Linked DNA regions of Nothobranchius furzeri. The protein of the gene in region 1 binds, or shares a complex with, the protein of each later gene. Links are inferred from orthologs where the notes say so. Each region holds a gene or a part of one and is shown in the gene's direction. Other genes may lie near its edges.

Evidence for each region.
Region 2: ercc3 (region 1) and polr2d share a complex: the UniProt entries of both Homo sapiens proteins name them as parts of the TBP-based Pol II pre-initiation complex. The link is inferred for Nothobranchius furzeri from reciprocal best matches to the Homo sapiens genes ERCC3 and POLR2D.

What each region holds. Positions count from the first base shown.
Region 1 is NC_091749.1:40,321,580-40,325,712, reverse strand, and holds the start of ercc3 (general transcription and DNA repair factor IIH helicase/translocase subunit XPB), read left to right. Parts: upstream 1-1,333; 5' UTR 1,334-1,476; coding exon 1,477-1,504; intron 1,505-1,684; coding exon 1,685-1,881; intron 1,882-1,965; coding exon 1,966-2,202; intron 2,203-2,281; coding exon 2,282-2,331; intron 2,332-2,409; coding exon 2,410-2,545; intron 2,546-4,035; coding exon 4,036-4,133. Other genes in the region: gpalpp1 (GPALPP motifs-containing protein 1), read right to left, coding at 1-122, 228-477, 583-648, 724-835, 937-1,021. UniProt on the Homo sapiens protein: ATP-dependent 3'-5' DNA helicase/translocase. Binds dsDNA rather than ssDNA, unzipping it in a translocase rather than classical helicase activity. Component of the general transcription and DNA repair factor IIH (TFIIH) core complex.
Region 2 is NC_091753.1:55,727,259-55,731,529, forward strand, and holds polr2d (DNA-directed RNA polymerase II subunit RPB4), read left to right. Parts: upstream 1-1,488; 5' UTR 1,489-1,667; coding exon 1,668-1,743; intron 1,744-1,937; coding exon 1,938-2,118; intron 2,119-2,190; coding exon 2,191-2,286; intron 2,287-2,393; exon of another isoform or gene 2,394-2,849; coding exon 2,850-2,928; 3' UTR 2,929-3,131; coding exon of another isoform or gene 3,132-3,351; 3' UTR 3,352-3,771; downstream 3,772-4,271. Other genes in the region: dual specificity protein phosphatase 14, read right to left, coding at 3,132-3,351. UniProt on the Homo sapiens protein: Core component of RNA polymerase II (Pol II), a DNA-dependent RNA polymerase which synthesizes mRNA precursors and many functional non-coding RNAs using the four ribonucleoside triphosphates as substrates.

The sequences.
Region 1 (4,133 bases):
GAGCGATCCTTGTTCTCTGGACCTGACCTTTTCTTGAAAGTACGAGCACCCAAACCAATGTGCTGCAGTTCTGGTGGGAGCTCTGTCATCCACGTTTCTCTAGTTACCACCTCTGGAACATCCTAATTACGCAGAGGACAAACAAGAACACATTAAGACACAAAGAAGAAACAGCCCCCTTTTATAATTTAATTATTATGAGGAGAAAAATGTTAGAGAAAAATTACCACTCTTGTTAGCTTATCTTTCATCCTTCGTGCCCTGCACTCAAAATCATGAGCAACAGAATCTTGAATCGGTCCTTTAGCAGGCATGGGTCCAATCACGTCCTCCTCCTCTCCCTCGCTGCTGGAGGGTTCGGGACAGTAGCCCCGAGGAAGGGCAGGTCCTGGAACAATTTCTTCCTCATCATCATCATCACTGTCATATTCAGTCCTGCAGAACCCAGGAGGCAGAGCTGGCCCCAACACAGGTGCCCTGAGAAAATACCATCACAAACAAATGTCACACTGTTATCCTAAACAGGAAGTGTCCTTACACGTGCTATTTATGTTACTAGAGAATATTGATGTTTCTGCTCACCTTTCTGGTGAATGTTGCTTTTTATATCCTGGAGGCAGAGCTGGTCCAAAGAACCCATCATCATCCCTGTTCAGAAACACATGTTAGTCAAGTTCGTTCTATTTCTTTTAACTAACAAATGAGACCAGAACCAGAACTCACTCTGCAGCTCTCCCAGTCTTGGCTCGCTTAGCTGCCACCTCTGGTTCACTTTCATCTGAGGAGCTAGACTGTTCACCCCGTTTATACCCAGGAGGTAAAGCAGGACCAGCAACTAGACGGCGACATAAATAAAACTGTTAGCTAAAAGTGAACAGAGCAACCCGAAAAGATCAATTGCCACAACACGTTAGCTTCTAACAAAACGTATCTTACAATCTTTTTCGTCAACGTCGTCCTCAGAGCTCTCATTTCCAAATATCGGAGGCAAAGCAGGTCCTATAATTTTATCAGAGGACATCTTTGCTAACAATTTCGTTACGTATTTTCAGGGGATATTAAACAAAACCTGTATTTACTCTATGGCTTTTAACCTAGGAAGTAAACAATAGAGCAGCAGCGGAAGTCTTCAAAGTGTTCTGCCAAAACAAATGCACCTGCTATTGTGATTTATTTTTAATTAAGATTTTAATAAACACATTTTTGAATAAGTAGTTTTAAAGCTTCGTAAATTGTATTAAACTATCGTAAATATAAGTAATAATCAACTGTACACTGTCTCTGTGGCAAAAACGGAAATATAAAAACTTTTATTTTGAAAGTTTTTGAACGGAAACGCTTGTTATTCAGAGCTCCACTTTAGTGCACAGTCTAGACATCGTTTATTCCTTCATATCATTTAAAGACACGTATTGTGTGTTTACCTAAATACATTTGGGACTATTTTTAAGACTTTACCCATGTAAACCTTTCAAAATGGGTAAAAAAGATAAAGGAGATCGAGGTAAGTTGGTAACGTTTCATTTTAATCTGCGTGGAGCTAGTCACCGAACGCTAACCTGCAATATACTAGCGCAAATACGTCTGAGCAAAATGTAGTTTTGATTCCATGGCATCTTAACATAACTACTGATTTTTAAAATGTTTTAGTAATGTTAATGATTGTTTTGTGGATCTGCTATAGAGAAGAAGTTCAAAAGACGCTACTATGAGGAAGATGACGATGAAGAGGTGACAGTCGGGGAGTCTCAGGAAGCTGTACCTGCTGCTGCAGGGAAGCAGGTGGATGAATCTGGCACAAAACTGGATGAATATGGAGCCAAAGACTACCGCGCACAGATGCAGTTGAAGAATGACCACAACTCCCGTCCTCTCTGGGTGGTATGATGCGTCATTGCTGCTTATAGTCACAGCTGTACCTCAGTAATCTCTTAGAGGTGAAATCTTGTTCTCACTTCTCTACAGGCTCCAGATGGACACATCTTTCTGGAAGCGTTCTCACCAGTATATAAGTATGCCCAGGATTTCTTAGTGGCTATTGCAGAGCCAGTGTGCAGGCCTAACCACATCCATGAGTACAAGCTGACTGCATACTCCTTATATGCAGCAGTCAGTGTGGGGCTGCAGACCACTGATATTATAGAGTACCTGCAGAAGCTCAGTAAAACATCTGTACCTGATGGAATCATCAAGTTCATTGAGGTCAGAGATAGACAGGATGTGATCCTATAGTAACAGTTTATTTTTTTGCTCATCTGTTGTATTTTTCTGCCTCTTTCAGCTTTGCACTGTGAGCTATGGGAAAGTTAAGCTTGTGCTCAAACACAATAGGTAAAGGTCTTTCGTCTCTCTCTGCAAAAACATTTATTTCTTCAGCGGTTTTATTCACTTGTGTTTTCCCTCTTCTAGGTATTTTGTAGAGAGCACCTTCCCTGATGTGATTCAGCGTCTCCTGCAGGATAACGTGATCCGTGAATGTCGTCTTCGCTCTGCAGATGGAGCAGACCCTGAGCTTATTACTGAAGTTGTCCACAGCAAATCAGCAGTATGTCATACTCCTTAAGGATCTGGATGTTGTGGGGATTTGTTGGTTGACGCAGCTCTGTAATATCTCGTGGACTTCGGGAGCAGTTCCACTGGATTCACAGACTGGGGTGGTGGTCCCCCTGTTTAAAAAGGGGGACCGCAGGGCGTTTTCCAACTACAGGGTGATCACACTCATGAGCCTCCCTGGTAAGGTCTATTTCAGGGGTTCTGGAAAGGAGGGTCCGGTGGATTGTCGAACCTCAGATTCAGGATAAGCAATGTGGTTTTTGTCCTGGCCGTGGAACACTGGACCAGTTCTTTAGGGAGGTTCTGGAGGGTGCGCAGGAATTCGCCCAACCAGTCTACCAAACCAGTGCTTTGTGAATGTGAATTTGGTGAAGGCTTTTGATTTTGTCCCTCAGGGGGCCCTGTGGGGGGTACTTTGGGAGTATGGGTACCAGGCCTTGTGATACAGGCTGTCAGGTCCCTGTATGACTGGTGTCAGAGCTTGGTCCACATTGCAGACAGAGATGGGCCATTCCCATCTGTACCGGGTTGGCCCGGGCCGGGTAGCGTAGGTTGTTTACATATCTGGGTGGCCTGGTATTTTTCCGGGCCAACCAAGGCTCATTCTCAGCCCTCTTCTCGAGGGGGTCTGCTTCAGGCCGACCAGGGCCAACACACCCACTGCTGACAGCAAATTCACACCTTCCATTAGAGCAAGCCTCTGATTGGTGGGTAGAATCAGCCCACATGGGCTTAAGACAAGGATGTTTGAAATCAACCGGGCCAGGCTGGGACCAACTGGGGCTACCCGGCCCGGGCCGACCCGATACAGATGGGAATAGCCCATAAGTTTGATCGTTTCCGGTGAGAGTTGGGCACCACCAAGGCTGCCCTTTGTCAGCGATTCTGCTCATAACTTTTATGAACAGGATTTGTAGGTGTAGCCAAGGTTATAAGGGAATCCATTTTGGTGTTCTAAGGATCAGATATCTGCTTTTTGCAGTTGATGTTGTCCTGTTGGCTTCATCAGAACGTGATCTCCAGCTCCTGGATGCCTCCCTGGTGAGGTTTTCCGGGCATGTCCAACTAGGAGGAGACCTGAAGGAAGACCCAGGACATGCTTGAGGGACTATGTCTCTCAGTTTGCCAGGGAATGCCATGGGATTCCCCTGGAGGAGCTGGCCCAAGTGGCTGGGGAGAGGGAAGTCTGAACCTCCCTGCTTAGGCTGCTGCCTCCGTGACATGACCCTGGATACGCAAAAGAAAATGGATGGATGATATTTGAATTTACAGGGGTTTGCAGAAGTTCAAAATAGAACTGAATGAAAATGTCACTGTGTTGAATGTTTTATTCTAGAGATGTATTTAGGAAATAATTAGTGTATAAAATGAAACATTTGGTAGATTTTTGGGAAACGTCTCCCATTTTCTTAAACTAAACCCCCGTTACGTAAAAAGTGTAAAATATTTATTTTTCCTATTACATTTCTCTTTTTTGGCCAGATTTCTAAGTTTGTTCAAGAAAAAGGAGACCCATCCACCTCACAGCAGCCTGTTGATGGACAGACCTCAAACCAGCAGGTCCCTGAGGACATCTTCAG
Region 2 (4,271 bases), on another chromosome or scaffold:
AGTAGACATTTTAAACATCACGCACAGAGATCATTGCGGAAGATCTATCAAGAAAAGATTCCCATCAGAACATCTGAGCATTATCTCAGACCTGGACATCATCAGCGCAGCTCTCTATCAGCTCCCTGAGGAGCTGTGAGAACGGCTCGGAGCGCGTCTGTGTCACAGGCCAGCAGCAGGTAAAATGTTCCTACCTTAAATTAAATTGTTTAATTGTAACATTAATATGTTGCTGGACACGCTGTTAGTTTGTTTAGACTAAATATTAATAAAAAAACGAATGAAAGTTAAATAGTGAATTTTTATGTGACAGAATGAAATGACTGTTTCCCCGTCTCCTCTGACACAGGACCAGTCTGCATGAGATATGGTCTCAAGGTCTCATGCATTTGCTTCTAACCTGCTTATTTTCAGCTCAACAGAAGAATGAAGAATGGACTATTTTCTTTTAATTAATCAAAGAACTCTATTTTAATAAAGCTAATCCAACAAAGTGTTAGTCAATAAATATGATGTGACCGATCTGTGAAATCAAAATATTAATTACTTTATTATAATCCTATAGAATATAATAAGTAATATGTATATATGTGTATATATATATGTATATATATGTATATATTGTGCCGTCGACCCAAGTGAGGCCGGTGTTCGGTCCGCCTCTGATGACAGTTGAACACGGTTATGACATTCAGGTAAAATCAGTAACCGAATAACGAATCGAAAGCAAACTTCTGCCATTAGACTTCAGTGTTGACATATTCATCCTTCCCGTTCGAAACTAACCGTAAGTTGATTTAGTCTAGAGCAGCTGGACAGTAGCTGGAAAAATGCAACCAGATGTAACGATCAGTTAAATGACACAATCGGTAAACCAAATTGAACATTGTCAATGTTTTAATAGGAATTTCTTGTGATGAACATCAAGTGTTGGTGGTATAGTGGTTAGCATAGCTGCCTTCCAAGCAGTTGACCCGGGTTCGATTCCCGGCCAACGCAAGTCCATTTTGCAGTAATTTCTTTTCTGTTACAGAAATATCCTGCAAAACAGCACAGGGTGCAAATACGCAGTCTAAATTACGGAGGAAGGGACAACGTCTCATTATAGTAATTTGGAATAACAGAGATAAAACATCAAACAGTTATCAGAAAATCATTGGTAATATGTCACCTATAAGCTGAAATCTGTGAAAGATCCCATATTAACCTCTTTTGCTGTTAACCGTTATTATTATGAATTTATTCATTATTATGAATGCGGATTTCCTAAAACTGCTTCCCCATCTTTAAAGCTTTTCTCAGTGACATGATCATTTATAAGCAGTTGATCTGAGCTAAAGCCCAGCTTGAGTAACAGTCTACCTGGTGGAGAACTTCATGCTACCCTAATTACTGCTTTTCTAATTAATTGTATTTAATTGGTTTTAAGTAGTTTTGTTGATCGTCTCGTCTTTGACCGTAGCAGGACCCTGGACCTCCGGTCAGCAGGGGGCGAACGGAGATCACGGGCGGAAGTAGCGGAAACAGCAGCAGCTAGGCGGAAGTACCGGTGTGTTTTTGTGTGACTGAACGAAACAGCGCGGGTTCTCTTCTTAAAATTCTTACCACGTGTGTCCAGCTCACGGTACCGAGACTCAACGGAACTCCGGAACGAGTCGTGGCCCGTTATGGCGGCCGGAAGCACGGCTCCTCCGCAGCTCGGAGACGTAGAAGAAGATGCGTCACAACTGTTGTTTCCCAAAGGTGACGACTACCGCCACCGCAGACCTGTGTTTGATACACCAGAAACGTGTGTGTGTGTGTGTGTGTGTGTGTGTGTGTGTGTGTGTGTGTGTGTGTGTGTGTGTGTGTGTGTGTGTGTGTGTGTGTGTGTGTGTGTGTGTGTGAATATAAAAAGGAAGTAGTATAGAGATCAGCTGTTTTAATTTCTGGTCCAGAGTTCGAGAACGCTGAGACCCTGCTGAACTCCGAGGTCCACATGCTGCTGGAACACAGGAAGCAGCAGAACGAGAGCGCCGAGGATGAGCAGGAGCTGTCCGAGGTCTTCATGAAGACCCTCAACTACACGGCCCGCTTCAGCCGCTTCAAGAACCGGGAGACCATTACTGCCGTGCGCAGGTTCGCCTTTCTTGCTTCCACTGATTTTCTGACCACCTTCTGGTTGTGACAAATCCACCATTTCTCCTCCAGTCTCCTGCTGCAGAAGAAGCTGCACAAGTTTGAGTTGGCTAGTCTGGCCAATCTGTGTCCTGAAGCTGCAGAGGAGGCCAAAGCCCTGATCCCCAGGTGAGTCAGGTAACCCACCTGGGGACCCACTGAATTATCTGCTCAAGGACCAGATAATTTAGGTGTTTCCAGGATTTTCCGTTTCAGAGGCGAATAAAACGATTACATTTTCTGTCTAAAACGTTTAATTTATTAGTAGGTGAAGAGCATTTCAAGCAATATGGCAAAAACACTTTTTTGAGACTCTAATTGATGTTGGTAACCATATTTATATTAGGATCTGAGAATGTTATCTCTGTAGTTAATTTTAGGGTTAATGTGTTGTTATTTATCTTTTGAAAGTGTTTTCTTTGAACAGCTGGGTTTAAAGCTTGTGAACACGCATCCTGCTCTGAGCAACAGGAAGTTCTAAACATGGAACAAGCTTGTTCCCATTCATTCTGGGATTTGTACTTAAACCCGGTCGCGTGCTAGCTCTACACAGCTTCATAGTAAAGCACTACAGATGGAACCGGTTCTGGTTCAGTTCAGCCCACATACATGTGGACCGGGTCAAAGACCAGGATCTGTGTAGAGAACTGAAGTTTCTGTCTGAATAAAGTTGGGATTGAATCTGTTTCCAGTGTGGAGGGTCGGTTTGAGGACGAGGAGCTGCAGCAAATCCTGGACGACATCCAGACAAAGAGGAGCTTCCAGTACTAAGACCAGAACCGACCCGCCGTGCTCTGCGATAATTTCTGCCCTTTTTTTGTTTTTGTTTGTTTGTTTCATGTTGGTTTTTACTCCTTCAAGTTCCTGACACCAATCCATACTAGATGGACAGAAGAGCTGGATGAAACCAACAGAGGAACATCTGCTTCCATGTTGTTTCCTGTTGGACCAGGTTCTGTCCCGTCAGCGCCTTGTCACACATTGACGCAGTACACTGCAGCACCCGTCTCCTCTGGCTCTTGTATTACTTCAGGCAAAACCCCAGCAGATGTCCTCACCATCTGCATCGTGTTCCTGGTAAACAGGAGCTTCTCGTAGTTCATCAGCTGCCTCCAGAACCCGGCGTTGGGTCGGATGAATGGCCGGCTCTCCAGAACCAGTTTGTAAGCCTGACGCAGGCTGAGACCGGTACCCCTAAAGAGACACATACCAGAACCATCAGACAAGTGTTAACCTGAGTGAGTCCCAGACAAACAGAACCAAACATAGCTGCACGGCACCCCCTGAGACCCCAGAGCAAACTTGGTGCTTCAGCTTGTCTTGTCTGGATTTCTATTGCCCTGAAAATAGGATGAAAGTATCCAGTGGTTCACGATTAGCTTCCAAAGTAAAAAAAAAACACCTTTCATCACACCTTCACAGTTTAGAGTGACACTGCACATCCAGGACCCTTATTTTGATTGATGTAGAGATCGCATAAGGAGTTTAATCTTAGCCTTTGTGTTTTTTATGACATTGAGCCAGCACAGCTAATGCAGTGGTGCAGATTGATCTATGTTGTATTTTGTTGTGCAAAACAGAAAAATAAAACCAGTGAGGTGGGTGTGAGTTAAAGAGCTTCCATCGTGTGTGTGTGTGAGGTCAACGCTGCCACCACCATCACCAACCAGGAAGCATAACGTGTAACATTATTAAAATATGGAGAAAAACCCGACTACGGCTGTAGCCGATTAAAGCAGGGATGCACAATATATCGTAACAGCCGATGTTAGTGATTTTTGACATATCGGTATCGGTCCGATGACTAAAGCTTGGTTTATGCTTGACGCATTTACTTTCCGCTTGGTGATGCGGCTCGCGGATGGAACGCGCTTCACAACTCGCAGCGTTTATGGTTCATGCGGCTCGTCTCTGCGGTGAGCCAATATTCTCCCAAACTGTAGGGGGCAGCATGGAGCTCTACGGCATGCATCCAACACTACACCATAGAAGTAAAAACTCATGTTGTTTACAACATGGCATTCCAGCATTTTTTAACAGCGTCCTCGTCTTTTCCGACAGTGTGAGCTATTTCTGTCCAAGAATTATTAACATGTTGATCACGGTGACCTCTG